3 linked regions of the Tribolium castaneum genome follow. The protein of the gene in region 2 interacts with the protein of the main gene of each other region in a biochemical or structural test. Links are inferred from orthologs where the notes say so. Each region holds a gene or a part of one and is shown on either strand. Other genes may lie near its edges. The genes, in order: Bap60, mor and brm.

Region 1 (11,090 bases), about 10 Mb from region 2:
AAAATCTAGCAATTACCTACCCACTTGGCAAAAACTATTGTAATCACTTTTTAATAATTAATAATAAATTAATTTCTGATTAAAAAATTTTAAAAATATATAATTTGAAAACAAAATTTTCAGGATTCTTTCAAGCACAAAATGTGGTTTGACATAGCGTTGAAGTCACCGAGAACTTGGCCTTGAAAATAATCTAAGATTTGCATTGATCAATACCAAAGCAGTGTCAGTGTTTCGTCAAAAAATCAGAATTTTTGGACCAATTTTCAAAAAAATTAAGAACAAATTTAACACAATTAAACAAATTCAAATTCGGAAATGTCTATAAAATCATTTATTTCGAATTAAAAAATGCAAGAATGTCTTCAAAAACAATTTCAAAAAACAATTTTTCAGTCCAAAAATGTGGTTTTGTGTAGCATTGAACTCACCACGAACTATCATTTAGTTCAACACTATAACACTAATAAAGAATAAATTTAATTAATTCAATAATTATTGAGAATCTTGTAACAATTTTCATTAAATATTTGACAAAAAAATGCTTCGACCTGAGTGGTTTTATAATAATTAAAAAAACCAACTAAAACATCGTTTTTCAGTATTTTTTCAGTCAAAAATAAATCTAGCTTGATGTATCATTGAAGTCACCACAAAATTGACCTTGTAAACACCTAATAACGTTTCGACTAACACTAAAACACCACTTAAATTAATTAAATTAGCTGAATTAAATTAATAGAATAACCAAATTTTAGCAATTTTCAGTGAGATTTGTGACATAATCAAGCATTGAAATCATCGATTCTAGAACACATTTAAAAGATTTTCTTTGGAAATAATTTAAAACAAAGTCTGTACTTATGTAGCAACGAATTAATTAAAAGTAATTACCAATTAACAGCCAGAAATTAACTTTTTCGATAGAAGAGTGTACTTCGACCCATCGTTGAAATCACCAACTGGTTCTCAAAAATCGACTTTAAACCACAATCAAGCGGTAACAAAGTCTAGCAAAATTACAGTTAAAACAAATCAAATTAATTAAATCCAGTGGCATTGAAATCTCCAAGAACCAAACACTTCTGGAATAAATTAACATAAAACTCCACGCTAGCGTGATAATAACCGTTGCTCAAAGACCAATCATGACATTTTCGCACAGGAAATGCAGTGGGATTTTATGACTCCATTGCGCATTTTTCCGCGAACCGAAGGTTGCTATTATTATGTGATTTCTGCTCAAGTTATTTGTGTCGTAATTATTTCATAGAATCTAGCAAAAACCGCAAACTCATAATTACCATCATCATAACTGGAGTGACATTTAAAATGATATTTTATCACTTTTCTGCAACAAATCAAAACATGAATGAGCGATTTTGCAACAGCGCACCTAACAACGTAACTTTGCACCTGCCGATAGGAAGGTACAAAGCAGGCGGGGCCCAAATAAACCACCAACCAATCAGACGCCAGCAACCTGTCGCCGGGCGGCCAATCAGCGCCCGGATATGATCCATTCAACATTGCAGTTCACCTTACAAATCATTTGCATAGACGTTTTTACGTTGCTATTTCATGACTGCAAAACATACGCGGATTAATAATAATTGCCAGGGATATAAATTAGAACCTGAAGCTGCGTTTTTGCAAACGCTATTAGAAATTTCTAATAAGATAAATACCAAAGGTGCAGTGTAATGTCTTGCCACAAGGTGATTAACACCAGCGCAAAAAATGCACTCAAACCGCAATTTCTAATTAAGCTAATTGGACGCAATTAGGCACAACCAAAATTTCGAGATCAATTTTAATTCTAATAGTTTTTTTTTAATTTTAACAACAAATAACAGTGTCACACAAGTAAACATAGATACATACAGAGTTGGCAAATTTAATTTTTTACTTTTAAATGAGGCAGGCAACCAAAAATACACAATGTACTTCTTTATTTTTTTCGTCAAAAATTAAACCGTATAATATTCTGCCAAATTCTTAACAGCCATAATACTAAAAATCGTGCCATATGAGTTTAAACCATAAAAAAATTAAATTTGGGAAATCATAGGCAGCCAGCATAACAAAATACAAAATTGTAATTGTAGATTAATTGCAGCAGAAAAATACTCAACCTTAAAAAATGTTAGCAAAAACCAATTTTTCGTAAAATTAATGCCTTTAAACACATACAAATGTTTAAATTGTTTAATGTCTTGAGTGTAGGCAACCAGAAATACACCATGCGATTGACAGCAGAGGTTCTTTCGCGAGAAAAAAATTTAATTTTTTTAAAGAGATCTCAACTATCACAAATGGTAAAACAACCAATGTTTTTGCAAAATAAGGCGTTTAAACCAAATCCATGCCATTTTTTGTCCTACCTGAAGTCCTTAGCGTCCAAAAGGTAGTTCCAGGGATCAGGGTAGTTCCAGGAGAAATGTTCTTACAGTCACTTTCAATCACAATTATTGTTAATGTTTTTGGAAAATTAACAACGAAAACACTCATTTTTGTAAAGAAAACGGCAAAAAAATAAAGATTACACGGTCATTGAACACGAAGCGTCCAATACGTAAAATTTGACAATAGTGCCAACCCCATACTTTAGAATTTAGGAATCCCCAGTTTTCTACCAATAATTATCGGAAATTGGGGCTACAGATATTCGGGTAAGAAGGTTTTTAAAGCGAAATCGCAATTACACACTCACTTACCTTGAGTTTGTTGATTTTAATCCCAAAATTTTGCTAAACTACAGGAATCTGTAATATTTTTGGCGCTAAATTTCTATGACAGTCAGTTGGACCAAATTAGATTAATCCAAGTGAGAGCAAAGGTCAATTGGCTTAAACGAGATGAGTAATGCGGTGAATAAAACTCGTAATTTGTAAAATATCGTTTATTAAAAATTAAATATAATATATTCAACTGTTCTATAATTAATTACTTTTTGCGCAATGTATAATATAGTAAAATAATACGTCATTTTTCATTTCCATTACTTAAAACCATTAACAACTATCAAATATCTTTGGCATTTGTAAATTTGTATCCTTACAAAAAAAAGGTGGCAAGTTTAACATTTTGGTAGATAATCACAAGTACTTAACGAGATGACCCATTCCAAAAAATCGATGTTTTCCAACTACTCTACTAAAAAAACAAAATTTTCGTACTGGTCACCTCATCAAACAAAAAAAAACTCAATGAGAATCACAAAATTTTACAATTCGATGTGTTAGTCACTTAGCGAGTTGCTATGTCTAGTCGTAACATCACTAATTGTAGAATTATGCCTAGTCTTTCTGCTGCCTTCTTCGACCTCCATTGGCGGATTTATCGATTGCGAGAGAGCGTTAGTTTTTTGAAAATCAATCGTAGCGTAACTTTTCGCTTTGTGGGGGCTTTCTGGCGTCACTTGAGAGGTAGAAACGTCGCTTTTCACCGGATCCAAGTCCAGCTCAGCGTAATTCACTTCGTGGACAGTCAAATAGAGCGCGGTGGGCGTTTGGGGCACACTTGGCGCCTCCGCCCCCGACAAAAGCGGCCTTAAATGTTCTAAATCTTTGGTGTCTATATTGGCGTAGCAATGTCTTGCGTTGTCCTCGGAAGGATCCGAGTCTTTGGTTCCAACGGTGTCCACATTCATGTACAGGTGGCACGGACTCTCCACAAGGGGGCGCAGCTCCTCCCCACATCTAAATACCCAGTGACTTTATTTTTATTTAAATCAAAACTGCCAAATTAAAATTTTTAATTTATCACCAACTTATTATTATTTAAAGGCAGAAAATTATAAATTATTCACCGAAGAAAAAAAATATAAAAGTGGCACAGTTGGCAAAGCTGTTTATTTAGCAAAATTTCAATCTAACTGACAAAAATGTGTAAAAAAAATCGGTAAAAGCGCCCTAAATGAAATAAATCTGGGACTTTAGCAACTTACCCCTCGGGGGCTGCGGCGCCTAAGTTGGCATAATTGGGAGCCTCCAACTCAGTAATAACACTGGAATTGGTGTACTGGTGGTCCCCCAAACTGCCCCTCTTATTATTATTGTGTTCGTGCGTCGACTCGGCCGTCGTGGGGCTCACCGGGCCGTTGCTGGTGATGGACCCAGGGCGGCTCAGACTCGGCCTGGGGGCCCCCACCGGATTGAGATAGCCCTCGGGCTGGGACGGGGCGCGTCGCTGCACAGGGGGCCCCGTGGAAACGGCCGGAAAGTCCGAAATGGCGTTAATAAGGGGGTTCTCGTCGGAATTACGTACAATGTGATGTTGGACGATATTGAAAAGTTGCTCAGCCTTGCGGCACCTAAACGCATAAATGCCTTGGCCAGTGGGGCACCTGCGACCGCACTCGAAACTGAAAATTTCCGAGTCGAAGCCGTACTTGCGCAGCGACCTGAGGGGCCACACTGTGGGGTTTTTGCCTCTTTGGTGTAGGACTAGTTCAGTTTCCCGGACTTCGAGCTTGCCGGGGCTCACCAAGTCGCCTTGGTCGTTGACGTTGGATACGTCGAAAATGTTCGGGTGTTGATCGTTTATGTCGGGCTTGCTGCTAACACAACCCATTTTCTACCTAGGAGTAAGGGGTAAATAAACATCAAGGTTATTTGGTTGGGGGCACTTACTAGGTTTGGCTCAAAGCTTGATTGCATGGACACGTGGCTTTTCAGGCATTCTGACCAAAAATTACTGTTTTTACATTTTGTTGTGAGTTTTTCGGGGTTTTTTAACCAATTTTTATGTGAAGTTCTCACATAATAAACAGCGACGCCATCATGGTTCTTCTGTCACCAGGCCGGCAACCAAACACAAAAAATGCGAAAATAAATTCATTTGACCACCGGCAACAACCCCACGGGCCCCAAAACACCCACAACAACACGCGTAAACAACCCAACAACCTTTCTGAAAATTTTTAAACAAAATACGGAAAAACAACGGTGTTGGTACCCCTACTAGTAGCTCAACTGGTCACAATCTCACAATGTTCACAAAACCTAATAGTGAATTCACACCTTTTTCGTATTTTTTTCCCAAACTTTGATTCAATAAACCCAAAGGTCGCAAAACCGTTCTTAATCACACATTTACTATTGATAATTCCTTATCAAATTAACAATTTCGTCCACGCACACCTTCGTCACCAAACCCACCAAACACACAAGACCGAAACTGGGCAACTGGGGACGCATCTGTGTGTTTTTTGTGCTTAAGAAGTGATAAAAGGCCATGGCCCAGCGTTTCGCGGGCCCCGTGCCGCCCCAAGGTCCCGGGGGGCCCCCACCCCAGCGTTACCCGCCCCAAAATCCGGGAATGCGCCAGTACCCAGCCCAGAATTTTCCGGTGAGTTTCCCCATTTTCCACCCAATTATTTCTAATTCGCACTATAGCAACGGACAGGGTACAACACCCCGCCCCCGAACATGGGGGCCCAGCCGGGCGCTATGATGCCGCGGCCCCCTCAAGCCCCCTATTCGCCCATGCGAGGGGGGCCCATGCCGCCCCAGCCGGGCGTTAAACGGCCCCCGGACAACAGGGCCGTCATGCAGCAAAAGAGGTAAGCAATTGGGAGTATACAGAATTGTTATTTTTATTTATTTCAAATATTTGTATTTGTTCGAAAAAATCGTTTACGCTGTTGGCAGTGATTACCCACATGGAACCAAGAAAAAGAAGAAGCTTTCCGACAAGATTTTGCCCCAAAAAGTCAGAGATTTGGTGCCCGAAAGCCAGGCCTACATGGATTTACTCGCGTTTGAGCGTAAATTAGACTCGACCATAATGAGAAAACGGTTGGATATTCAAGAGGCGTTAAAACGTCCAATGAAACAAAAACGCAAATTGAGGATTTTCATCTCTAACACGTTTTATCCAGCCAAAGAGGCGTGCGCCGAGGGCCCAGACGGCCCTGGACAAGAGGGCTCCGTGGCCTCTTGGGAGTTGCGAGTCGAGGGCCGCCTTTTAGACGACTCGAAAAGTGACCCCAATAAAGTCAAACGCAAATTTTCGTCATTTTTCAAATCGTTGGTGATTGAGCTCGATAAGGAGTTGTACGGTCCTGATAACCACTTGGTGGAATGGCACCGTACCTTAACAACTCAAGAAACAGACGGTTTCCAGGTCAAGAGACCTGGGGATAAGAATGTGCGGTGCACTATTCTTTTGTTACTCGACTACCAACCGCTACAATTCAAACTCGACCCGCGATTGGCCCGTTTATTGGGCGTGCACACGCAGACACGCCCCGTTATCATCTCCGCCCTATGGCAGTATATAAAAACGCACCGATTGCAAGACGCCCACGAACGCGAATACATCGTGTGTGATAAATATCTCGAGCAGATCTTCGGGTGTCCTCGGATGAAATTTGCGGAAATCCCCCAACGTTTAAACCCGTTGCTCCACCCACCGGACCCTATCGTCATCAATCACGTGATCTCGGTGGAGGGCGGGGCCGAAAGCAAGCAAACCGCCTGCTACGATATTGACGTGGAGGTGGACGATACGCTCAAAACTCAGATGAATAATTTCCTGTTGAGCACAGCTAGTCAGCAGGAGATCCAAGGTTTGGATGCGAAAATTCACGAAACTGTCGATACGATTAATCAATTGAAAACAAATCGTGAGTTTTTCTTGAGTTTTGCCAAAGATCCGCAACAGTTTATTTACAAGTGGATCGTGTCACAAACCAGGGATTTGAAGGTATGGAAAGTGAGTGTATTAGGGTGGAAAAGTGGCATTTTCCGCACGTTTGTTCTAGTGTATGACCGATGTGGTGGGCAATCCTGAAGAGGAGCGGAGGTCCGACTTTTTCTACCAACCGTGGGCGCAAGAAGCCGTGTGTCGCTATTTCTACACCAAGGTGCAGCAAAAAAGGGCCGAACTGGAGCAAGCACTCGGCATTCGCAACAATTGAGCGAAACCAGCACGAGATATGTATTAGTTTATTTGAATATAATTTCCAGCATTTAATAAATAAACTGCATTTTTAACTCAAGTCACTTTCCTTAAAATGTCTCCAAATAACCAAAAACAAACTCACTAAGGCTGGAGAATTTTTCCTCAAAAATTCAGTGATTTTTTTCCTATAAGGGTGAAAAATTTTCGGCAACAATGAGGGAAACAAACAGGAAATTTGTATTAGTTTATTAGAATATAATTTCCATCATTTAAATAAATAAATTGCATTATTGACTCAAGCATCCACTATCAGTTTCGTTACACAACTACGACAGCTGTACCAAAGACTGTTACTAAACAATTATCTACAGTCAACAAAAACAAATAAATTAGAAATGCAATTGTGCACCAATCGGGTCTTTGACGGAAGAACAAAACTTTGCTACTTATCACAATGAAATTAGATTGCATCGGAGCGATTAGCACTTGCGCCCGTCAAGCCAACCGTCCGACCTGCACCATTGAGAAAAACAACAAAATAAAATCGTTTTAAAAAAATATATACTTAGACCACTACAAGCAATCAATCAATCGTAAACAAATTTATACAAAATACATCAATCAGGCTATACAAATAATCCAGTTGTGTAAAATGTGCTACTTAATTACCTAAACGTGCTAGTTAGACCATTTGATCAAGAGGAGAGACAACTAAAATCCTAAAATAATGCCACTTTTATATTACAAAACACGATTTAAGCCTGGAAAATTTGAATCGTTATTACACCACCATGATTATAATAGCGCGCGACATGCGACAGGAAAACCCACAAATTATTTCTTAGCAATTGCACTAAAAACCGACCTAAGAAACAATTTGTCGTCTCAATAAGTGCACCTTAATTCTAGGATAACTAAGCAAGTAAGCACAAAAATGTAAGTCGTGTGTTGTTCCACGGCTTACGTAGTACGAGTAGTCAGCAATATTTTTGGTATCCCAGTGATCAGAGCACCGTTTCTGGAAGGAAAAATTCAGGAAATTAGAGAAAAAAATTAAATCAAGACTCACATGCGTCTTTCTCGTTTATGATAAGTGATTCGCGTTTTCGCGCAATTTCCATGTTTTTCTGGCCCATGTTAGACCCAGTACGGATCGCAGCGCCGCCACCAACAACAACATGATGTTGGCCAGACCTGATAGGCTTGGCAATTGTTGCAGCAGGGCCGCGACGAGCGAGGTTCTTTTGGCGGACGGCTTCCTTGATCCGGTCCACCTCGTATTGATATCTGAAAAAAAAAACAAAACATTTATTGGCGATTTTGCCGTAATTGAGAAAAATGTGAGCGCCAACCTTTTGCGATCCCTCATGGCGCCCTCCTTGGCCTCCTTGAGCGCCGTCTCCAGCGCCTTCACCCTCTCCATGGTCGCCCTTAGCCTCTTCTCCAGCTTGGGCAACTCGCACCTCAAATCGGCATTATCTCTCACAAGTTGCTTATGCACTTTGGTCAACTGGTCCAAATTATTCTCCAAAAACGAGATTTTCTGTTTCTGGGCCAACGAACCGCCGTCTTCTTCGTTATCTTCAGCCGAGAGATTTTTCTTCATCCGTGCCTACAACAGCATTGTTTCACCACTCGTCGCTACGTCGCTCGTACCCACCTGTAAGTCCTGGACGAATAATTTTCGGAGATTGTGAAGGGTTTGCAACTCCTTGGCGACGGTGTCTTCCAATCCTCGGAGGTCTTTCCGTGCTTGTTCGCGTCGTTCGTTCGTGGTACTGCAGAATATTATCCATCAGCGTTTCAGCATTCAAGCCACACCACGCTCACGGATTTGTTTGGTCAGGTTTTATTTGTGTCGTCACACGACAACCAAAAATATTACGCTTACTACTCGACAAAAACCAAAACGAAAACAATACAAACACATAACACAGACAGGTCGTCTAGGTTTAGAAATAGTCAACAATTTCAACTACGAGAAATTCAAAAATAATTGCCTTTAAAATATGCAACGATTTTTTATACACTATTGCTAACACTCTCTTATTTACATTATTATTATCATACAACAATACTACAAGACCACTTAGATCCAAAGTTTGAGCTCGCTATTGTCGTTTTTTTTAATTTTTGATTCGTTTTTATACAGTGATATGCAAAACCGGTAACAAGCCGCGATTTAATAATAAAAAAAATGTTACAAAACTCGAAAAACTTGAATAAAATCTTGCACTAAATAATGCCCTGATTTTGTTTTATCTAATGTTCCAAATTTTGATTTTATTTTTATATTCAATCAAGTTTCCAGAATTTTTTTGTGGTTTTTCTCAGTTTAAGTTTAAATTTAAAACATTTCTTCATCGTTTGCTATATTTCAAAAACTAATCAGTTTTTGATATGAAATATATTTTTTTTATTTGTTTTTGAACAGACTCACCTTGATCCACCTTCTATAGACTTTAGATAAATTCAACAAAAGAAAAATAAGTAATAATTAAAAATTTGCCATTTTGCGACAGTATAACTTGGCAATAGCAAGATATACGTAGTCACTGGCTGTATCAGCATTTTTGTTTTTATTAAATCGGGCTTTCCGCGGCTCCTTTTAGTTAAATGGCCTCATCACAAAGCAAAAATACAAAATACTGTGCTGTTTTGTTTCGTAACCACTGACTAGTTAGTCACACGTGTATCAACTATAAAATAAAACTCAAAACCAAACAGTGGCGTGATGTGACTATGCCAAAAAATGTTTAAAAAAATAAAAAATAATACTACGCAATATTTTTCAAAATAAATCACAGGAAAAATCACTTTTCAAAGGAATGGATTAGTTTCAAATCGAAATGCACCAAATTATCACAATATAATAAAATCGCCCGCGACTAGATTTAGACAACGACTAGATATTGTGGACACCTATGTGTGACCAATAACAAAGTTAGGGAAATAAACAAATGCAAATGGAACGTATGTATGTGAAAAATCGACATCGAGCATTGATTTTTCGCCAATTTTGTGAAACTATTCAACGCGTCTTTTGCATGTTTAGGCACTGGATCGACATAAGGCAAAAATTTCTCCCAATCGGGACTTGAAGGATGAGGTAAGAGTTTTGTGGCGGATTTGGGGGAACACGGGAATGAGCGTTTACACTTTACTGACATGAGCTCCTGCAATTTCTGCGACTTTTCGGCTTCTTCCGACTTGACTTTCTCGTATTCAGACTGCAACTGTTGCTGGGCGAGCGACAACTTCTGGTTCGAACTGTGAAAAAACAAATCAAAACAAAACAAAAAACACATGACGTAACACACTCTTTGATATCGTTGATCAATTGCTGCTTTTCGGCGATTTCGTCGCGTAACGCCGCCACTTGCTTCTGATGAGCGACACGTAATTGGTCCATTTGCTGCTCGAGAGCCAATCGCAGCTCGTTCGCTTCCTTCTTCTCGCTCTCGCTGGCGCTCGAAACCTGCAAAAACGTTAATCTAGCAACCTGTAAACACTCTTTTTTTCTTTTAATTTCGAGATGTTTTGAATTGTATTTCTCTCTCGAATTAAAAAACTTACTTGTTCAGCGGCCTTCAACTTCGCACACTCCTCCCTCAAGGCATCAACACTCTCCTCCAGCATCCGCTTCTTGTTCTCAGCTTCGCGCATCGACTCTTGTAGACTCTTCATCCTGGCCTCGTGTTGCGAAATCAACAACCTACACTCCCCCAACTCCTTCTCATACTCCGTGACCTTCTTGTTACTATCCTGTTCCTTGTTTTCAATTTCGTGCAATCGCTGCGTCAAATTCGTAACTTCACTCTTCATCCGCGAAATATACAAACGTGCAACCGTAAACTCCTCCTCCAGCTTAGCCGCATCATTGGAGATCTTAATCTCGGACCCGTCACTCCCCAAAGTCGACCCAATCTCGCCCAACTCCTTCAGCAAATTGCTCAACATCTCGGCGATTCGCTTCTTTTGATGACTCGACATGTCCCGCAATTGCTGCAATTCGGTGGTCGTGGTATTCAAGCTGGCTTGCTTCTGCATCAGCTCCTCGGACAGGGTTTCCATCTCCTTGTTCTTGGCGTCCACTTCTTGCGACTTTTGGTCGTAGTTAACGGCCAGTTCTTCAAGCGCTTGCAGGACTTCCTTGACCTCCTCCTTGGCACTCTCATTCT
Region 2 (11,327 bases):
CAAGTTTGATTTTAATTTAATTCGCAACTGACTTATCATTTGTCAGTGCAAAATAAATGACAACTTGATTTGAATTAGTTAAATATTGAATAAAATTTCAATTTCGCTTCCTGTAGACCGGTCGTACAAGTATTTCTTTTTTTTTTGTTTCAAATTTTTGTTTTTTACAAATAGAATTCAGAGGGAGATTTTGTCTTTAATTTAAAATTTGTGTATCTAACGAAAGTATGTTGAGATTTTTTTTTTAAATATAAAAAAATAAAAACATTGCAAACTCTAGCAATTAACTAAAGTAAAGAATTATTACGAAGTGGACAAATAGAAACGAACTCAGTGCGATCGAGTCCCGCTGGTGTAACTTATTACTTATTAGTTATTATCGCCGCCAATTTTCAAGTAATTAACCAGGAAAAATATTTACAAACTATCAACCCGATAAAAAAATTGCTGTCAAACTTGCGTGCGTTATTTGTGCAAACCCAACAAAATACGTACAGAAATAGCCGCGATTTGAATGCCCCTCACGCAATTAATTCCAATGCAAGGCTTTTAGTTACGTAAATATTGCTTTACAGTTTAAAAAATGCACATTTGCGATGCACTCCTTCCATGGCGCCGCCGCGAAAAATTCGTATTCAAACAAATAGGAAATTCCGGTTCGTCTTGTTTATATTTACGCGACGTGAGTGAAAAACGTAGGTGTGACCTTGCCATGAACTCGAACCAAAATTAAAATGCCGACACGTTCCCGAATCAATTCGAAAAAAATCGCGAATCCTGAAAACCCGAGTCGTTGTCCTTCAAGGCCGCCCAAGGCTGTCCGGGGGACTTTCCTACGCCGAAATCGCCACCACGTGATTCGTTAACGATAATAGATGTCAATCAACGATAAAAAAGCGCTTATTTATTGATCGTTTGACATCTCGTGATGCTCACGTGACCCAACGTCAAACGATAAAATTTCCACGAGCGCCGTTGACGCATCTTCGATTTTTATGACCCGAAATGGACGATATTGTGAAATTCTCTCCGATATCGGGAAAAAACCGGCGCGAGTGCGCATTTCCGCGGAAATTCGGCACGAAAACGTGACTGCGATCAGCCGTACGAAAATCTCGCACGGTTACGTCACAGCGCCACTTTCACCCGGCAAATGCAAAAATCCAGCCTTATCGCAGATTTGGGCAATAAACGCAATCAGCGCGGCTAATAGCCTAGAACTTGAAGACTGTTCTGGTATTTGGACTATCATGTCAGCGAAAACGGGGCTAAAAATGGAACAAATATTTATCTTTAGGCATCGAATTACTGGCACATTTAAGCACCTGTCGCGAATCTCTCGCAAAAATTTTTGATCATGGAACTGCAATTACGAGAGAGACTAAACATGCCAACAATTTCCTTTTAAATGTTGTGCACGTTGTTTCAATTTCTTATATAATGGGAGTGATTATTTATTTTATTGCTTCTGTTTGGACTAATGCCACCGATAAGGTGTGTCTGTGATTGGTGTTGGCGCGAATAATTTTCGAAAAAACGGACCATATGGCGCAAAAATGTGGGTCATCCGTCCGTAGCAATTGAATTAATTGAGCTACCAATTTTCTTAATGAGGTAATAGAGTCGTCTGTTGCAACAAAGGTAAAAAGTGTTGATTGTAGTCCACGTGCGCTGGCTAAGCTGAAATTTGATTAGGCCTTGCAGCGCGTAATCCGGCCCTGTCCGAAGGGGTGTTTATTTTTTGGCCGATGTGTTAATTGCTATCACGTGCGCGTCCGAAAATACGCCGACTTCCTGCATAAATAATATTGCGTCGAGTGTGCGGCGTGGGGTCCGGTGCCCCCTTGGATGTGTGCGATAATTGAATGGACTTGCACAAACTGGTTTGATTGCGAATTTGCGTCGTTCGGCGAGAACTCACCCTTCGTACTTGACCCTTTGAATGTTGGCCGAGTTTTCCTCCCAGTAAGCCTGCGTCATGTCCATTTTCCTGGGGACGGTTCAGCAGCACATAGCACTTTTCCGGAAATTCGGTGGAGATTTGAGACAGGTGTCGTCGCAGGCGGCGATCGCAAAGGCGCTTCACTTTCATCTACTCCTCGGCCACTGATACCGACCGACGAACACGCTAGAGTACACGTGAGCGGAGGATTTAATCCAAGACAAGGAAAAATCGGTGCGCTGCCTCCGACTCTACGTGACGGCGAACACATACTGGCGCTCGCCGGATTTTCGACGATAAGCGCGGATTTTCGCCGGAATACTCCGGGAGAAGACTGCGACGCAGGGGCGTGCGGACTGACGCAGGACTTGGGTGGAAAATACGAGAAACCAACTCGAAATATTTACACTACACAATTTTTTAAAAATTATGTTCAATTAAAGTCCGGGACATTTTATCACCACCAGGACCGCACTAGGTCCTTTCGACGGCTGGGTGCATATCATATTTTACCGGCTCTACTTTTAAATTCTAACGTTCTTCTGTTCTTGGACCGAGAATTGCATTATTTTCACTTTTTCGAGCAGTTAAAAAAGCCAGACTCAGTTTTTTGCCGAAAATTTGTGAATGGAGAATGAGAAATATTTGGTGTTTATTAATTAATGTTTTACAACACTGTTTAGCTAGAAATTAAAAACGTTGAAAAATCGTCGAATTGTATCGAAAATGGTGTTGCTTTGAGTTTTTATTTTTTTCTGCGAGATTTTGTTGAAAGGGAACAAACAATTACTAAACTAATAAGTAAATATTTTCAATCTTTTTTTTCCTTTTTCGACAATTTTAGCACGTGCTTTAACCAGAAACTTTAAATTTGAATAGTTTTGTTCATAATAAATCGAAATTTTGCCTTTTTCTCAAAAATCATCTGAAAGGTTACTAAATTTGATCGGAAAACAACCATTCGAGCAGGAAAGAGAAATTCATGACGGACGGGACACAAAAAAAACTCACATTTTCATCGTTGAAAAATTGTTATAAAATTAATTCCAACAATTATTTTTTAAATAAAAGGTGGAACTTCTTGAAACTTTTGAAATCACGAAATCGAAGAGTAAAGCAATTTTTATTTACACATGACGGGTAGGACTCTAAAAAATTCATTCGACTGGTTTTAATTATTAAAGACTTTAACAATCTCAAAATTATACAGTAGTAATAAAAAATTATTGGTCTTGTTTCACAACATAAGAAATAAAAGCAACAATAATATGTTTGCAATAACGGACGGGACAGCAAAATTTACGAAGATAAAAAAGTAATATAATCAATTTAAATGATTATCTTTTCCTAATTTAAATCTACAACAAAAAAACTGTTTTGTCGCAAAATACATTCAATATAAACCGAATCGTGTAGGTATTTCGAAAGGAATTTTACACAAAGTATTTTGAAAATTTCGGTGTTAGGTTGCATTATTGTTGAAATGGCTTAAGGCAGAATGTCAAATCAAAAATTAAAAATCAGTTATAAAAACCTCGCCAAATTTAATCAAAAATACTCTAAAAAATCACCGAATCGTTTCGAGAATAGTGTTATTTTTTGGTTTTTATTTTTTTTTTTTCTGCGAGAATTTATAAAAATAGAACGAATAATTAGGTACTAAACTAATAAGTAAAGATTTTCAATATTTTTTCATTTTTCGACCGTTTTAGCACGTTTTTTATTCAGAAACGCGATTATTTTGAATAATTTTGTTTATAATAAGCGTAAAAGTCAAAGTAATGTTTAATTGTTTTGCCTTTTTCACAAAAATCCGCTAAATTTGATCCGAAAAGTAAGTAAGTACTACATTTATTTTGTTTGTAAACAACGTTTCTGACTCAAAATGTGCTAAATTTTGAGTCAGAAACGTTGTTTACCAAATTTTCGCGAAAAATTAGCTGAAAAATCTCAAAATTACCTACTTCAAAAAAAGAGCTTTTCATCACTAATAAAAAATAAAAATATTTTTAATCAGAATTTTGCTAAATCTGGCTGAAAAATGAATAAATTAAATCGAAAATGATACAATTTTACCATTTCTACGTTATATAACACGGTTTTTTTTCCAGGAACGCAATTATTCCGATAACTGTATCACCGAGGTTTGAAAAATCACATAACTGTATCAAAAATTTTGACTCGGCTTTATATTTGAACAGCTTGTTTGTCCAAAAATGCTAATAATATTTTGCAAAATTTTGATAAAATAAAATCAATTAAACGCCAAACCTTAAAAAAAATTTCAAAAATCTTTGTATTTAATAGAATAGGGTGTACTTTTTAGCGTTTATAGACCCATTTGCAATAAAATCTCAGTTAAAGTTACCATTTTCAAAATGGATTGTATTAAATTTTTAGCCCTTTTCTTATTGACCACCTAAAGTTTTTTTTTTGTGGATCCTTTTTGCCTCTCCGTCCATATATTTCACGGTCCGTAGAGCCGGCTCTGTATTATAATAAATAATAAATAATTTTTGTGATCCAATTTTTGAAAACATTTTATTTTGGGGTGAAATAACTTCTAAACGCTTGATTTTTTTGTAAAAGAAAAATCTCTGTTAGAACTGAACTCTACTGACAATATTTCAAACAAGATGCTCTATTTCATGAAGAAAAAATATTATGAAAAGTGATAAAAAATGATCCTTTTTTTAACTGATTGTTTTTTTAACGAATCACCCTGGATGTTAGAAAACAAACAAAAAAACTAGTAAATCCGAAAACAGGTCAATTTTTATTTACAGGGGACACCTGTTAGTGTCCTTTCGAAATTTGTAGCACCTACCTCTTTTGTATTAAAAAATTAAAAACAACACCTTCACAATTCGAAATACCTCAAATGAAAGGTATTTTGACAAGGAATTTAGGCTTTTTTAGTGTTTTTTTTTTTTAGTTGAGCTAGACCTAAAAACTAGGAAAATTTTTCTAATAAAGTCGCGAACTTAAATATCAGTCAACACAGGACACACAAGAAAGTTAACGCCAGATAGGGGAATGGTAAAATATAATAAAAAAAAATAAAGCTAATGTAAAAAAAATATTATAAACTATATTAATTATAAAATCATTTACCAATTTCAGCAAAACTATTCTGTAAAACTATAAATATGATTTTTTTCTGATGTTAGCTTATAAAAAAAAATGGCTTCTCAACGTTTCTGCGCTTTCTCCATCCATGAATGAACTATTCACAGTTACGTAAGTTTTAATTATAATTTAAAACAATCTAGAGACGAGGCGGTCTAATAATAATACTCTAAGCGCTCGTTTTTATTTTTAAGCTTTTTTCTGAACCGAATACCTAGTATAGGCGTCAGCTTTGTTAATTTGTAACTTTTACCCAAGTGACGTTAATAGAAGCAAAAATTTGGTTTGTATATCCTATGCTAGTAAGCTAGTATGTTCTCATTTTTGGTGCTTCATTACTTCAATATTGTGTATAAACATGTCGTGATAACGGAATTAGGAAAAAGGGAGGAGAATTGAATTAGATCACAAAGAGGTAAGTTTTTGTAACTGTTTTTTTTTCCTTGCCAAAAAATTTCAGTGCACGCCACTGCTGCGAGCTCATTCGTGCACCGGAACGTAACGCGGGGATTGTTTGTTTGTTTGCACATGAGCCAAACCAGAGATCACGTTCAAAGTAACGTGGAGACCCACGTGATCCCTACCTATTACACCTATCAGAGCGAAACTTTTGGCCACGGGGGCGAGGTACCCGAGCCCCAAAACTGGCAGTTTCGCCCCCGTTTGAGGCCCAGCATAAGCCCGTCGAGCTTCAGACAACGCGAAGACCCGATTTTTTTCGGAAATGCCTCAGCTGCGGTCACGTTTCACGTGAGCTGTTAGGTAACGCCAGGAAAATTCACGACCGCTCATTTCACACGTTTCGGCTTACATAAGTTGTTTTGATCTGTTATTTCCCTACATGTGAACGTTTCCAGTCCATGACAGTGAACGTGCATCGGCCCGTGAAGCGTGGGCACGTGTTGCAAACACGCTCACGCTCGAAATTCAAATTTCCCGCCCCGGATAACGTATTACTGGTTGCCCATACTTCGCATTTTGACAATTGACATTATTGTGATATTCAAGCGTCGGTTTATTTCGCTAAATTTACGCTATTTATTTGTATATTTCTGTAAAGTTTACCAAAGTAATGTACAATTTAGTTAAGTCTCAGTAATACGGTAGTTTCGTAAGTCGGGAATTATTCTTCTGTGGGCAAAATGATGGGCTACGGCCCCAAAAAGGACGGCGGTCCTAACGTGAAATACTTCGAATCGCCGGAAACCCTCGCGGCCCTCGAGCTTGTGAGGCAGTGGCTGCAGAAGAATGGCAAAAAGGTGAGGTTCTGAGCGCTGTGAGTGCCCCCATCATTGTGGTTGTTTCAGTATTTTCAAGCCGAACCTGTCACTAATAAGAGTCTCTCCATGTTGGTTTTGCAATTGATGCAATTCCAGGAGGACTTTTTGGGCAAAAATGTGCAAAAGCCGCCCATGATCCGCATCCCGGTGCGGTATTTTATGGATTTTAAGCCCGGGGGCGCCTTGTGCCACATGCTGTTGGCGGCGTACAAGTTCAAGAGCGAGCACAATTGGCGCCGGTTTGAGATACCAACAGGCAAAGTGAGTATCCTGTCTTAAAACTTTGGCGTAAAATAGTATTTTCCATAATTATTTCTTTTTCTGTACGGTGGAACCTACAAATTTTGGTTTGAAACTCAGCTAAATTTGTAACCCTATTTTGCTAATTGATCATCTTATGACCAAAAATATCGGTCATAAATATGTCTGTCTAACGTAAAATTGTCGAAGGATTCCAAATCTGTCCTCATTTTTCTTCTACGATTTGTAGTTTTGGAGATATTAGATGATTTCCATTTTTCTAGTTAGCAAAAATTTAAAAAAGTAGAAATAGATCTATTCGTAACAACGACTTGTAGCCCTCTTTACTAATGAATTATCTGTTTTTGAGGAAAATTTTGTAACAATCCAGTCAAAATTGTGCAATTAATCCGGATAAAATAACTTGGTTAAAATTTTAATTTACTTATCTGTCAATAAAAAAATACTAAGATCGCAATAACCAAAAATATAGGTCATAAATATGTCTGTTCTGATAAATCTGTTCTGATTTTTGTTTTACGATTCGTAGTTTCGGAGATATTAACTGATGTATGGTGATTTCCATTTTTTTAGTTACCAAAAATAAAAAAATAGAAATACTAGATCTGGTCGTAAAAACGACTTGTAACCCTCTTTGCTAATTAATTACCTATTCCTGTGCAAAATTTAGTAACAATAGATTCAAAATTGTGCAAATAATTTGAATAAAACAAGTTGGTGAAATTTTTTATTTACTTATCTGGCAATAAAAAAATCATCAAGATCACAATAACCAAAAATACAGGTAAAAATTACGTCTAGCTGACGTAAAATTGTCTGAGGATTCCCAGTCTCTCCTGATTTTTGTTCTATGATTGGTAGTTTTGGAGATATTAGACAATATACGGTCGATTTCCATTTTTACAAGCTACCAAAAATAAAAAAAAATCTATCTAATCTAAAATTGTCTGAGGATTCCGAATCTCTCCTCATTTTTGTTCTATGATTCGTGGTTTGGAAGATATTTTAGATGATATCCGGTCGATTTCTATGTTTCCAATCTACAAAAAATAAAATAAAAAGAATTAAAACTACTCGTAAAAATGACTTGTAGCCCTCTTTACTAATCAACTATCTAGTCCTGCACAAAATTTAGTGAAAATCTAATGAAAATTCTGAAAATAATCCGAACAAAACAACTTGGTCAAAATTTTGATTTACTTTTCTGCAAATAAAAAAATCATCAAGATCACAATAACCAAAAATATCGGTCAAAAATATGACCATCTAACGTAAAATTGTCTGAGGATTCCAAATTTTTCCTCATTTTTGTTCTACGATTCGTAGTTTTGAAGATATTTTAGACGATATACGGCGGATTTCCATTTTTCCAGTCTACCAAAAATAAAAACAAATAAAATAAATCTACTTTTAAAAACGACTTGTAGCCCTCTTTACTAATTAATTACCTATTCTTGCACAAAATTTAGTAACAATCGGGTCAAAATTCTGAATATAAATCGAATAAAACAACTTAATCAAAATTTTGATTTACTTATCTGCCAATAAAAAAATAATCAAGGTCACAATAATCAAAAATATAGGTCAAAAATATGCCTCTCTTACGTAAAATTGACTGAGGATTCCGTATCTGTCCTCACGTTTGTTTTATAATTCGTAGTTTTGGATGTTTTAATTTTTCCAGTTTGCCAAAAATTACGAAAAAGTGATCTACACGTAAAACGACTCGGAGCCCCATTTACTAATTAATTATTTGTTCCTGAGCAAACTAATTAGAATTTAATGCTCTATCTGCCTGTATTTTTTTTGTTTCTATTATGCTAACCGTTACACAAATAAATCATTTTTTCAAATTCATTGCTCTGAAAACTTAGATGGTAATGGAACATTTTATTTGTTTTTTGATAACAGAGCACGGGCAAGCTGGAGCGCGTGTTCGAGATGTTGAAGTGCATGGAGAAGGTCTTGGTCCAGAACCGCTTCTACACCGTTCCGTCTGTCTACATCCGGCCCGAAATCGACAAGAATCTCGCCGCCAAATTACGCGAAATCGTGTGCCGCAAAATGGCTCAAGTGGCGGAAACTGAAGAAATGGCCACGCACATTTGCTACCCCCCTGTGGACCCGGTGGAGGAGGAATACGGCCGTCCGGTCTTCAAACGCGACAAGATGGTTATGATGCATTGGTACTACTTCCCGAATTCGTACGACGGTTGGATCAATTTAGACATTTCCGGCGAGGGTTTAAGCAACGACGTGCCGAGTCCCAGGACGGAAGCGTGGCGAGTCTCGTGTTCTTGGTTGCTGGAAACCGACCATTACAACGAGTGGATGTCCGAAGAAGACTACGAAGTGAACGAATTGGGCCAGAAGAAGATTCATCCGTTGCGGATGTCCGTCGAGGATGTTATGAACCCGTCGAACGACGACAGGTCGAAGAAGAAACAGAAGCGGAAACGCTCGCCTTCGCCACCGTCCAAAGGCGGGAAGCGCAAAAGTGGCCGAAGCCCCGCCATCGGCAAGAAGCAGAGACCTGAGGACATGGAAACTGAAGATTTGACGAAAGATATGGAGGAACCGACGCCCGAACCGAACATTGTCGAGGTTAACTCGTCGATGGCCAATCAGAACAGTAAGAAAGACCACGAATTGCAGCCCTTGAAGGGTGGCTCAGTCACCGATCTTGAGGAAAACGAAGAGCGAGGCGAAGATTCGCAAAATGGTAAAAACAGTGATAGTAATACCCAGGATGATGGGCAGGAGGATAATGTTACTGAACAAACCCACCATATTATCATACCATCGTATTCGGCATGGTTTGACTATAACGCGATACACGAAGTGGAAAAACGAGCCCTTGCTGAGTTTTTCAATGGGCGGAATAAATCGAAAACGCCCGAAATTTACCTCGCCTACCGCAACTTCATGATCGATACGTACCGATTAAACCCGACTGAATATATCACAAGTACGGCCTGCCGTCGAAATCTAGCCGGCGATGTTTGTGCCATTATGCGCGTCCATGCGTTCCTCGAACAATGGGGTTTGATCAACTATCAAGTCGACACTGACTCGAGACCCACACCCATGGGACCACCACCCACGTCCCATTTCCATATTCTATCAGACACACCGTCGGGCCTCCAACCGGTAAACCCCCCAAAAACCCAACAACCAAGCGCGGCAAAAACCTTACTAGACCTAGACCGCTCTCAGGACATCAAAAAAGGGGACGGCAGCGAACAAATGAATAATTTCGGCCTGAAGTTGGACCAATATGCCAAGAAACCGGCCGCCTTGAGAAACAAAAGCGCAGCGTCCTTGACTCGAGACTGGACCGAACAAGAGACACTTCTACTATTGGAAGGTTTAGAAATGTATAAAGACGATTGGAATAAAGTTTGCGAACACGTCGGCTCAAGGACACAAGACGAGTGCATTTTGCACTTCCTGCGTTTGCCGATTGAAGACCCGTATCTGGAAGACCCAGACGCTGGGGGCGCCTTAGGCCCTCTGGCCTACCAGCCAATCCCGTTCAGCAAAGCCGGAAACCCCATCATGTCAACTGTTGCGTTCCTCGCCTCCATTGTCGACCCGCGCGTGGCTGCGGCCGCCGCCAAGTCAGCAATGATCGAATTCGCCAACATCAAGGACGAAGTCCCAGCTGCCGTGATGGACGCGCATTTGAAAAACGTGGAAGCGAGCTCGACCGAAGGCAAATACGACCCAGCTGCGAACTTGGCCATGACCGGAATCGCCGGAACCGCACCCGAGAAGGAAGAAGAAGAGAAAATCAAGAAAGAACCCGAGAATAAAGAAGAAGAGAAAAGCGAAGAAAAGAAACCCGAGCCGGAAAAAGAAGAGAAGGAGGACAAGCCGGTCAAGAGCGAAACACCAAGCGAACCCGTCAAGACCGAAAAGCCGGAGGAACCGGAGCGGAAGCCCGAACGGACTGTGAAAGACAGCGAGATGCAGAGCGCGGCGGCGGCGGCTCTGGCTGCCGCCGCCGTCAAAGCCAAGCATCTGGCGGCGGTTGAGGAGCGCAAGATCAAGTCGCTGGTTGCGTTGTTGGTCGAAACGCAAATGAAGAAGTTGGAGATTAAGTTGAGGCACTTTGAGGAGTTGGAGACGACGATGGAGCGCGAACGCGAGGGTTTGGAGTATCAGAGGCAACAGTTGATCACGGAACGGCAACAGTTTCATTTAGAACAGTTGAAAGCGGCCGAGTTTAGGGCCCGCCAGCAGGCGCATCAGAGGCTGCAAGCGGATCAGGGCCAGTGGGCGATGCAACAGCCGCAAATGACGCATTCAGCGCCGCCCAACGAGGGGGCCCCGACTAACACGCCCACGCCCCCGAGTCCACAAGCGGCGGCCGTGGCGTCGCCGGCAGCCCCCCATCATCTAGCATAAGTAGGCTAAGTCTTAATGAAGGTATTAAAATCGTAACTTTGATTTATTCGCTTTATATTGGGTTTTTATTTTTATGTAGGTCACAAATCTGTGGTTCTTGTATTAAACTGTCGAAACATGGGTGTTTGTTTTATTCACTCATACAGTAAAACCAAAATTGTTTGGAACAATTTATTCTCATATAATACAATGAATGTGGACTTAATTAAAAATAGGATTTTTATTTAGTCGACGTAGATTTGTACATTACAATTATTTACATACCTTTCTTTACAATACGTGAGAATCACTTGCGCAACATAACA
Region 3 (10,765 bases), on a different chromosome or scaffold from region 2:
CAATGGTAAGTTGAAGGAGTACCAAACTAAAGGTTTGGAGTGGTTGGTGTCACTGTATAACAACAATTTGAACGGGATTTTGGCCGATGAGATGGGGTTGGGTAAAACCATTCAAACTATTGCTCTGATCACTTATCTAATGGAGAAGAAGAAGGTCAACGGGCCTTATCTCATCATAGTACCACTGTCGTAAGTTATATTTTTGCTCACATTTTTTAGTTTCGCAGTTTTAAGAACCTTCTATTTGATATTTTAAATTAAATTGATACGTGGTTTCTTGTTTTTGAGATAATAATTTAGTCTCCTGGAGATGTAACAGTTTTCGGTACAATTAAACAAAGTGGTTGGTCTTTAGACCAGTCATTTTAATAACTCCAGGAAGGAATAGCCTTCGAAAGGTTTTTAAACGCTTTTATTTAACTTGCTGAGTTGTCTCTGCTTGCGAATCAAATATATGTACCGGTTATCCGAACATACTGAAATTTTGCATACATACGTAATTTCCGTGACAATATAATTTAGTTCACTTGTTACTTGTTTTATTGGTATGGGAGTGATGAATATAAAGAGAGTTAAACCCGACACACCAAACTTTTATTGCTGTACAAGTACAATAATAATACAGGGTGCTCAAAAACTGGCCCACCAACTCAGTGGTACGTTATTGAGAAGCAAGTGCAGATTACGGGAAAAATGTTGAAAAAATTCCTAATGTCATATTTTAAAAAATCTGGAGTTACAAACTTATTGTGTTAACTTCTTTAGTTTTCATTATTTTTTTATATTTCTATGTTTCATACCAGGTAATCGTTCCGTAACAAAACGATGAATAATTATTCTTAAATTTACTATCACATTTTATCAGTTTTTTTAATTTAAAAAAAATCACAATGTGTAGATGTGCCAACACTGGGAATTGTTTCCTAGGAAACCGTTTCAAAAATAATTTATTTTTATTGTTGCTCAAATTCGGAAGTAAAATTACCGTTGGGGACGCCACTGAGCTAGGTCGAAAACAGTAACCATAAATGGCGGGAAAATGTTTATTCGGATATTTTGAGCGTTGTACGAATTTTGGGGCTTCACAATTATTGCATTGCCTATGCGGAATAATTATTGCATCTTTGATGCAAGAAACTTATGTTGACAAATGAGAGATGACGAGGAAAACACGAATAACGAATGACTGTTTGGTTCACTTTCTTTATTGGAAAATTATTACAAAGACATTGAAAAGCCTACCTTTTGGCATAATTTACGTTTAAATATATCAGCAGTTGTTAATCTTTATTGTAGTTTTGTAGATTTACCGCAGCATTTCATGATTTTTTCAGTGGAAAATTCTAACCTAAAATTCATAACACTTTGTGTTCGCTGTGATCCATTACTTATAATCTTTAATTAGACAACTGTTTGATAACACTTTGTAATCAAAATTTAAATATTTTTCACTTTTTATCCACTTTCAAGTTCCAACAATAAACACTTTATACCACGAAAAACTACAGAACCAAAGTCAACGTTAGGATTTACCACCACGTACTTTTAAAGTAATTCTTTCTATTGTAAGTAATTAACACTATACACGCAAAATTGTTGAACAATTCATTAAATGTCAGTTAAATGTGGCATTACGAAAATTTCTTTACTGTTTTCGACATAGTTCAAAAGTCATCACCAGAGGGCGTCTAGTTAATTTTATTTCCGAATTCTATTGCGATCATGACTGTTAGACAACGTTGCCACATATCATTTACCTAAAATTAGCTATTTATCAATAACTTTAATACAAAGAATTTTTTTACTATTTTTACTATTATATGTAACCACTGCTCTACCACACACCATTGAGTTGGTGCGCCAGTTTTTGAGCACACTGTATAATAATAAAAAATAGGTTTGTCGAGTTTAAAATGTATTTGTGTTCAAATTTAGTTATAAATAATTATCAATATTTCGGCTCTTAATTGAAATATCGAGATGAAACAAACACCATTCGATAGAGCAGAAAAAATTCTACAGATGAACGGAAAACCAGTTTCCTACCGCCCACAAGAACAATGATATTAACGTCTGAAAATTTCAGAATCGCTGTTTGCGAACAGAAATTGCGATTTTTAACACAAATGTAATGTTGTCTTAAAAGATCTATTTAGTGTTTCCCAACCGGTGGTTCGCGTGTATAAAGGGGGTTCGTCCAAAGAAGCATAATAATGGCGGAATTTTATAAAATGGATAAAGTAAAAAAATTCAAAATAATAAATTTAAATAAATCTAACAGACAAAATTGGCATCATCTCATTGTCTCTGTGTTTTTGCCCCATTTTTTTTTTGATTAATTGTTTTCATTTTCATGATTCAAGATTCATCAAAAATTAGACTTTTACGGATTCGAGATAGATTTCTGTTTGTTGAACGCATTTTTATCGAACACCTGAGAACAGTTATTACCAATTTGTGCTTATGAAAACAGAACTCAATTGTTATTATTAATAGGAACAGACATAATATTGTATTATAATATTATGGACAAAAATCAGCTTTTCGTACAAAAAGTTTAACGAAAAAGGACGCTTTTACTGCAAAAAAAACTTATTTGTCGAAGGGAACAATAATTATATGTTATGAAAATTGATTGTCAGTTTTCAGTAATTTATTTGAACTTAATTGGGTTTGAAGTTTGAAGTTAGAGCAAATTCTAAGGTCTTCTTTAGACTTGGTTTAAAATAAAATTGGTACTTTTTTTATTCATTTGTCTCACATGATTATTTTGCATTTTCGTTACTTAGGAAATTGCAGTGTTAAGTAAGCACTTTTTGTCTTCACATTTGCATCAAAAACTGTTATCTAATACGTAATTTCACCTTATTTCTGTGTTTTCGTATATATATTTTTATATAGGATTTTTTGCTAACATTAATGACATTTTTTTAAATAAATCAAATACTGGACCCAACTTCTTTTACTAAAATTGCTCCGAATGAATTGGTTATGGAGCCAACGATAAAACTATTTAACATGTCTGTTTAAAGAACTCCTCTTGCAAAAGCATTTACTGTAATCTGTTCCCAATTTTAAAATAAAAAATATAAAAAATTGGTATTACATTATTCGTTTTTTTTTAAATTTATATTCATTAACATTCATTCAGTTCAAAATGTGCAACAAAGAAAATATATGTCCTATCAAATTTTATTGTCTTAAAGCAGTACAAGGGGTTTGCCAAATTCTGTCGGATGTTAGAAGGGGTTCGCAAGGTGAAAAAGGTTGGGAACCACTGATCTACTTAATTATGTTTTTATATTATCATTTTATACATTTGGAAAAAATTGGATATATTATTCTGAGTATAAGCGCTTTGAATGAAGCTTTGCTTAGCTTCTGTTACAGTACTAATATTTAACTTCCTTTGTTCTGTTTGTTTTATATTTTCCGAGATAAGCTGAAATTTTGAATACACCCGTACTCTCCGTAGCGATAATGATATTTACAATATTTATTTTAATAAATAATTAGCAGTTATTATAATCAATTATCACTATATTGACTCTTAAATCAACACTATTCGATAACCAATCTCCTATCACACACAAGAACAAAGATATTAATGTTTGATATTTTCATTATCGCTGTTTGGGATAGATCGTGTTTCGGAACAACCTAAAATTTTGCATAAATATAAATAATAATAATAGTAATATAAATAATTTAAAAAAATAAATGATTAAAAAAACACAAGTAAACAATAATATCGTGGTTTACGCAGATCTTAAATTAAAAAAACAATCTTTTATAAACTTGGAATGGTATGATAGTCAAAAATAATTAGGTAAAATGCTTTTTCTGGAAAATCAAACAAGTTTTACCAATTTAAATACTTAATTAGCAATAATTGCTTCTTTTGTCGTGGTATTCTATTTTTTTAATGGCTCATTTAATTTCGACCACAATTTTTATTGCCATAAAATTAAACCCACACTAACTAGTATCGTCCTTTAATTTTACCAGAACTTTATCCAACTGGGTCCTTGAGTTCGAGAAATGGTCCCCCTCAGTGCAGGTCGTGTCCTATAAGGGCTCCCCGGCAGGCCGTCGAACAATCCAGAGCCAAATGCGTTCGACCAAATTCAACGTCCTTCTCACCACCTACGAATACGTAATCAAAGATAAGGGAGTTTTAGCAAAACTCCCATGGAAATACATGATAATCGATGAAGGTCACCGAATGAAAAACCATCATTGCAAACTGACCCAAGTCCTAAACACGCATTATTTAGCCCCTCATCGCCTTCTCCTCACCGGCACCCCTCTCCAAAATAAACTTCCCGAATTGTGGGCCCTTCTCAATTTCCTCCTCCCCTCGATTTTCAAAAGTTGCTCGACTTTCGAGCAATGGTTCAACGCACCCTTTGCCACAACCGGCGAAAAAGTCGAATTGAATGAAGAAGAAACGATTTTGATTATTCGGCGTTTGCATAAAGTCTTGCGACCGTTTTTACTCAGGCGGTTAAAAAAAGAGGTCGAGTCGCAGTTGCCTGACAAAGTTGAGTATATAATCAAGTGTGATATGTCAGGGTTGCAGAAAGTTCTCTACAAGTGAGTTGGTGTGTTTTTGGGGTTGGGTGAACAATTTTTGGGTTCTAGGCACATGCAAAGTAAGGGTGTCTTGTTGACTGACGGTTCCGAAAAGGGTAATAAGGGTAAAGGGGGCGCCAAGGCCCTAATGAATACGATCGTACAGTTGAGAAAGTTGTGTAATCATCCCTTTATGTTCCAAAATATCGAGGAGAAGTATTGTGACCACGTGGGCATTTCGGGAGGAGTCATTTCGGGGTTAGTTTCGAAAGCTTCACTCCGATTGACATACGATTTTTTTTTTTTTTTTTTTGGTGGTTATAGGCCTGACTTATACCGAGCGTCCGGAAAGTTCGAACTTCTGGACCGAATCCTCCCCAAGTTGAAAGTGACCGGTCACCGAGTCCTACTTTTCTGTCAAATGACCCAGCTTATGACCATTATGGAGGACTACTTATCCTGGCGTGGTTTCGGTTATTTGCGTCTAGATGGCACCACCAAAGCTGAGGATCGTGGCGACCTTTTGAAGAAATTCAACGCCAAAAACAGTGATTATTTCTTGTTTTTGTTGTCGACAAGAGCCGGTGGTTTAGGTTTGAATTTGCAAAGTGCCGATACGGTCATTATTTTCGATTCGGATTGGAATCCACATCAAGTAATGGATTTGATGCGATTTTACCACTCGTTTGTTAATTGGCGATTTTAGGATTTGCAAGCCCAGGATCGCGCCCATCGTATTGGCCAACAAAACGAAGTGCGCGTTTTGCGCCTGATGACTGTCAATTCGGTTGAAGAGCGGATTTTAGCCGCCGCTCGGTATAAGTTAAACATGGACGAGAAGGTCATCCAGGCAGGGATGTTCGATCAGAAGAGTACAGGATCGGAGCGGCAGCAGTTCCTGCAAAGTATTTTGCATCAAGACGGCGATGAGGAAGAAGTAAACTCTTCAAACGCTGGAGAAGAGCTTCCTCTTATCATTATGTTTTTTAGGAGGAAAACGAGGTCCCTGACGACGAAACCGTCAACCAGATGGTGGCGCGTTCGGAGGCCGAGTTCGAGCTGTTCCAGAAAATGGACCTGGAGCGAAGACGCGAGGAGGCGAAGCTGGGGCCCAACCGGAAGCCCCGCATGATGGAAATAAGTGAGCTTCCGGATTGGTTGGTGAAGGATGACGATGAGGTTGATCCTTGGAATTATGACGAAACGGAGTCGGCTTTGGGGCGGGGCACCAGACAGAGGAAGGAAGTTGACTACACTGACAGTCTGACGGAGAAAGAGTGGCTCAAAGCGATTGACGAAGGCGGAGATTACGATGATGAAGACGATGAAGAAGAAAAAGTCAAAAAGAAACGCGGGCGCAAGAGGAGGAAGAGAGGAGACGATTCGGATAGTGAGGTTGGTACGAGTAAAAGGAGGAGGGGGCAATCGAGCGCCGACTTGAAGTTGAAACGCCAAATGAGAAAATTAATGAACATCGTAACGAGATACACAGACAGGTAAGAACGAACACACGAGTTGCATACAATATTTTTCTACGTGTTTTTTGTGTAGTGACGGCCGGCTTTTGAGCGAACCGTTCATGAAATTACCACCGCGGAAAGACTATCCGGACTATTACGAAATTATTAAAAAACCGATGGATATTAATAAGATTTTGGGCCGAATTGAGGACAGCAAAGTGAGTTATAGTTAAAATCGTCAGTGTCGTATAACTGAGCCAATTTTTGTAGTATAACGATTTCAATGACCTCGAACGCGACTTTATGCTTTTGTGTCAAAACGCCCAAATCTACAACGAAGAAGCGTCCCTTATCCATGAAGACAGCATCGTTCTTCAGTCGGTTTTCACAAATGCGAAGCAACGGATTGAGTCGGGAGTTCCTGACTCGGACGATGATAAAGACGAGGATAAATCAGACAGCGAATCGGTGAAAATGAAGATCAAACTGAAGAACAAGAAGACCAGTGGTCGGCGCAAACGCGCCGCGAAGAGATACGTCTCGGATGACGACGACGATGACGATGATTGAAGTATTTGATTTAGTTAAGGTAGAAACATCTATATAAGTGTAATACTTTGATTTTTGTATTTATTTTTGAAGAGATGTAAGTATAGGTTGTAGGTATGTGGTCTATCGTAACACTAATACACAATTTGAAAAGAACTCTTTATTTTGTTGGTATTTTTATTTCTGCAAACTCCTCAGCAAACTCCTCCTTGGAGCTGGTCCTGAATGGCTCCTCGTCGTAATAGTCGAAGTTGCTAGTGTCACCTGCGTCTCGAACTTTGGGTTTGAACGAGGGTTTGACTCTGCGACGCAAAATCTGGTCGAAGTCCACGCTTTTGAACCACTCGTGCCCTTTCACGTCCTTGCTCCCGTTTTTCAAAATCCCATACCTAGGAAATGGACGAGTGCCTTTTTCTCAATTTAAAAATAGTTTTTACATTATACCTGCGGTAGTATAACTTTAAGTCAAGTTTTAATATTAAACCTAAACATTGTAAGGTAGATATAATGTACAGGTTGTACGAGAAGTAATGACACAGACTTGAGAGCCAAGCGAGTGAGAGTCGGGTCGACCCGATAGTATTGAGAGCAGTTGTCGGTTTTCCGACACTGGGTGTGGGTGTGTGGAAGCTGGAGGGTTGTGAAAATTGATAAATATTTCGTTCAAAATATTGACTACCGCACTTGAATTGTTTAGCGAAAGAAATAAAATAATAATTTTTTTAGTTGGAGAGTCTCATAGAATATACAGTTAAAAACATTAAAAACAACAGTTGGCTTGATTCTGGGTTTTTGTCCAAAGTCAACAGTTTACAAAATACAACCATTTATTAATTTATTTATTAATAGACGTAGAAGTTAAGAGTTGATGAATTTTTTTTCAAGAAATGAGTTCAGGTTATTCAGAATTAAATTAATCGTAAATTAAAAATTCATTGCGATTAAATCGGTTTTTGAGAGTAAGTCATTGCTTTAATTTCAAACAAACAAAAGAAGATGAATATAAAATGGAAATGCTCTTGCACATGACAAAGCAGGGTGTTTCGAGTAAAAAACTAACAAGTCGAGGGTGTATTTGATAAAAACCGTTTATTATAAAAACAATGTAATAATAAATAATAAAATTAATTGTAAAAGTTTAAATAATGAAATTATTATTCTTTTTAATATTAACGGTCGGTTTACAGATAGCGAAATTAAAGTTTAATTTAGAATTAAACTAATTCCACATTAAGTTGCCATTTAAAATGCATTGACAAATGTCAAGTTGATCTCGAAATTAGTCACGAAATGAATAAGAAATACCTCGGAAGTACTGGTTATTGTCGTTCCCAAAAGCGATGAATTTTCTTTGAAAATATAATCCAAATTTAATAGTTTATGACCACTTCAGGAGGTAGCAATCATTTGGGGAATCCACAAGGGACTTTCTATTTTACCTACTGTTCTTCGCTTATTTGCTTCATATTAAAAACCATTAAATTCAAATATACACATAGTTGTTAATTGTTTAAAGTATGACAAACTACTGTATAATTTTTTAAACTATATAAAAATTATCATAAAAATTGAGATAGTGTTGTCTTTACTGTTTACTTAATTTACGTTATTTACTCCTGAAATAGGTGTTTCATTTTCAAATTTCCTCAAAGAGATGAATATTTACTGGAATCAAAAAAACTAATGCAAAATCGGTAGGTAGACAAGTTTGGGATGAATCATGGGGTCCTAATCTTACCAGTGTTAATTCTAAGCACTCTAAGGCGGTGCCATAATATTTGGGTATATTGTAAACGAATCTTTTTTTATCACATTAAACAAGCTTCAATTCCGAATAAGGCCTGTATAAACAATTTTCATCTAGGGTGGATTTTACAATTGTCAGATAAACTCCGGATAAGTTATTCCTTGTATAATTACTATGGTTACAATTGTTACAACAATGTATTTTTCAAAATTTATCCCCAGGATAAAAGTTATCCGACGATTGTAAAATCCACCCTTAATAGAAAATTCTATAAAAATTGCCATCATAGGGCGTAATTCTAACTTCATTAATTTCGCTAACAAATTGTTTTCAGTAGAATAAACTTTATAATTAATTATAATTATAATAAAATTAATAACTACGATAACATAACATTGACAAACACATGATGAATACGCAAGAGTTCCTTCGTTTTATATTTTTTTTTCCATTTTTCCTACTATTCTTCTCTCATTTGCTTCATTTTAAAAACCATCAAATCCAAATATACAAAGAGTTGTTAATTGTTTAAAATATTACAAACTACTGTATGATTTTTTAAATTAAAGTTATCATAAAAATTGGGGTAGTATTGTCTTTACTATTTACTTATTATTCGAGAGGATTTAATAGAATTTGGTAACATTATTCCCAGAAAACGTTGAAAGGTTCAACCATGTCTCCAGGCCATTTGTTTCCATTCAGGAATAAAAGTTTCCATTCGATAGTCAGAAGTATGAATTGATCATGCATTTTAAATGGCAACTCAATGTGGAATTAGTTTAATTCTGAATTAAACTTTAATTTCACTTTCGGTAAACCGACCGTTAATATTGAAAAGAATAATAATTTCATTATTTTGTAAACTTCTACAATTAATGTTGTTATTTATTATTACATTTCTTTGTAATAAACGATTCTTTTATATCAGGTACACTCTCAACTTATTAGTTTTTTACTCGAAATACCCAATGCGCAAGAGCCTTTCCATTTTATACTTATCTTCTTTTATTTGCTTGAACTCAAGATCGGGTTTAATTGCAATTTTTAATTCACGCCTGAACTCATTTTTTGAAAAAAAAAAATTCATCAGCTTTTAACTTCTACATCAATTAATAAATAAATTAATAAACGTTGTATTTTGTAAACTGTTGATTTTGGACAAAAACCCAGAATCAAGCCAACTTCTGTTTTTAATGTTTTTAACTGTTAATTAATTATTTTATTCCTTTCGCTAAACAATTCAAGTGCGATAGTCAAAATTTTTTATATTTTGAAAGAAATATTTATCAATTTTCACAACCCTCCAGCTTCCACCCATCCACATCCAGTGCCAGAAAACCGACAACTGCCGACAATCGATTCTCGCCCGCTCGGCTCTCAAGTGTGTGACATTAGTTATCGTGCAAGCTGTACATAAAACATTTTAGCAGAAGACAGTTCTTTGAATAATTAAATTAAATTAAAGCTCTCAGCTTCGCGTCAGGCTTCAGTTTTAAAACTCCACACTGTAAAATTATACCTACCATATGTATAATATGAAAAACTTACTTCCTCATATTAATTAAATTAAAATACTTTCCATTTGTTTAAATAAATAAATTTTAAAAAATTATCATTGCGGTGAAAGTTTGCTGCGAAGCGTGCCGAGAGTTAGAGTTTACACGTGGAAATGCGCTAAACAATGAATGGCATTGAAGCGATATTTTTCGCAGCTGAAAGATAAACATTCGTATATTTAGGACATCCGTTCGGTTTCACGGTTAATCGAGCTGAAACAAAGGATCTGCCCGATTTTTACAGTAATTAGAGCGCATTTTAGAAAAAGTGGACAGTTTTTAACATTTTGAACGTTGGCCGGTGATTGAGAAGGGGACAATCAGCGCACTTGCGTCCAATTTCCACTTAATTATCGAAAGTTTTCCGATTGAAATCACTTTCAATTACTCAAATGTGCGTTTTCACCGGATGCTTTGTCTCATTCCGCACTACATTTTCGGCGTAAAAAATCCAAGACAAGTCAATGTTACGCGTCTAAATTTAACCAAGTCGAGGTGATATCCGGCATTTTATTATGGGCGACAAGTCTATTTCAGGCTTTTAATTAAAAAATTTCGGTTAAAAAAGTGATTAAAAAACGAAAGCTTAATCGTGACTTGAAGTGAAATTAAAAGTCAGGCACTCGTAAGAGGCGCATCACTTTCTTCGCATAAATCGGAACAAAAACTTTGTTTTTAGCAGCGACTTGTAAAATTCCGATTATTTTAAGCTTTTGGCAGCGCTTGTATTTATTTAAACCAAATTCTCAATTTCAACAACCTTCCATAAATAATAAAATTTTGCACACGTGGCGGTATTTATTTTTCGTACCTTTTCGTGCGATCAACTTGCAAGATGTTCGCCACGAGGTCACGCAACGCTTTGGAGAAGTGCT

What was found.
Region 1: the proteins of mor (region 2) and Bap60 form a complex in vitro, tested with the Drosophila melanogaster proteins (2 studies listed by BioGRID, with this or other methods). The link is inferred for Tribolium castaneum from reciprocal best matches to the Drosophila melanogaster genes mor and Bap60.
Region 3: the proteins of mor (region 2) and brm form a complex in vitro, tested with the Drosophila melanogaster proteins (2 studies listed by BioGRID, with this or other methods). The link is inferred for Tribolium castaneum from reciprocal best matches to the Drosophila melanogaster genes mor and brm.

Annotation. Positions count from the first base shown.
Region 1 is NC_087395.1:25,848,472-25,859,561, reverse strand, and holds Bap60 (brahma-associated protein of 60 kDa), read left to right. Parts: upstream 1-5,021; 5' UTR 5,022-5,238; coding exon 5,239-5,352; intron 5,353-5,399; coding exon 5,400-5,566; intron 5,567-5,654; coding exon 5,655-6,720; intron 6,721-6,769; coding exon 6,770-6,925; 3' UTR 6,926-7,006; downstream 7,007-11,090. Other genes in the region: fibroblast growth factor receptor substrate 3, read right to left, coding at 3,242-3,701, 3,950-4,575; Khc (kinesin heavy chain), read right to left, coding at 7,926-7,927, 7,979-8,196, 8,262-8,521, 8,570-8,687, 10,078-10,179, 10,230-10,387, 10,486-11,090. UniProt on the Drosophila melanogaster protein: Involved in the recruitment and site-specific anchoring of the Brahma complex at specific promoter sites.
Region 2 is NC_087395.1:15,646,703-15,658,029, forward strand, and holds mor (SWI/SNF complex subunit SMARCC2), read left to right. Parts: upstream 1-5,499; 5' UTR 5,500-6,213; coding exon 6,214-6,330; intron 6,331-6,378; coding exon 6,379-6,612; intron 6,613-8,523; coding exon 8,524-11,022; 3' UTR 11,023-11,142; downstream 11,143-11,327. Other genes in the region: transcription factor cwo, read right to left, coding at 1,922-1,986.
Region 3 is NC_087400.1:7,703,800-7,714,564, reverse strand, and holds the end of brm (ATP-dependent helicase brm), read left to right. Parts: coding exon 1-189; intron 190-4,008; coding exon 4,009-4,596; intron 4,597-4,644; coding exon 4,645-4,833; intron 4,834-4,899; coding exon 4,900-5,230; intron 5,231-5,281; coding exon 5,282-5,512; intron 5,513-5,565; coding exon 5,566-6,071; intron 6,072-6,126; coding exon 6,127-6,253; intron 6,254-6,305; coding exon 6,306-6,605; 3' UTR 6,606-6,740; downstream 6,741-10,765. Other genes in the region: cAMP-dependent protein kinase catalytic subunit beta, read right to left, coding at 6,745-6,973, 10,702-10,765. UniProt on the Drosophila melanogaster protein: Transcriptional regulator. Acts as a coactivator, assisting one or more dedicated transcriptional activators of ANTC and BXC homeotic gene clusters. Can counteract the repressive effect of Polycomb protein.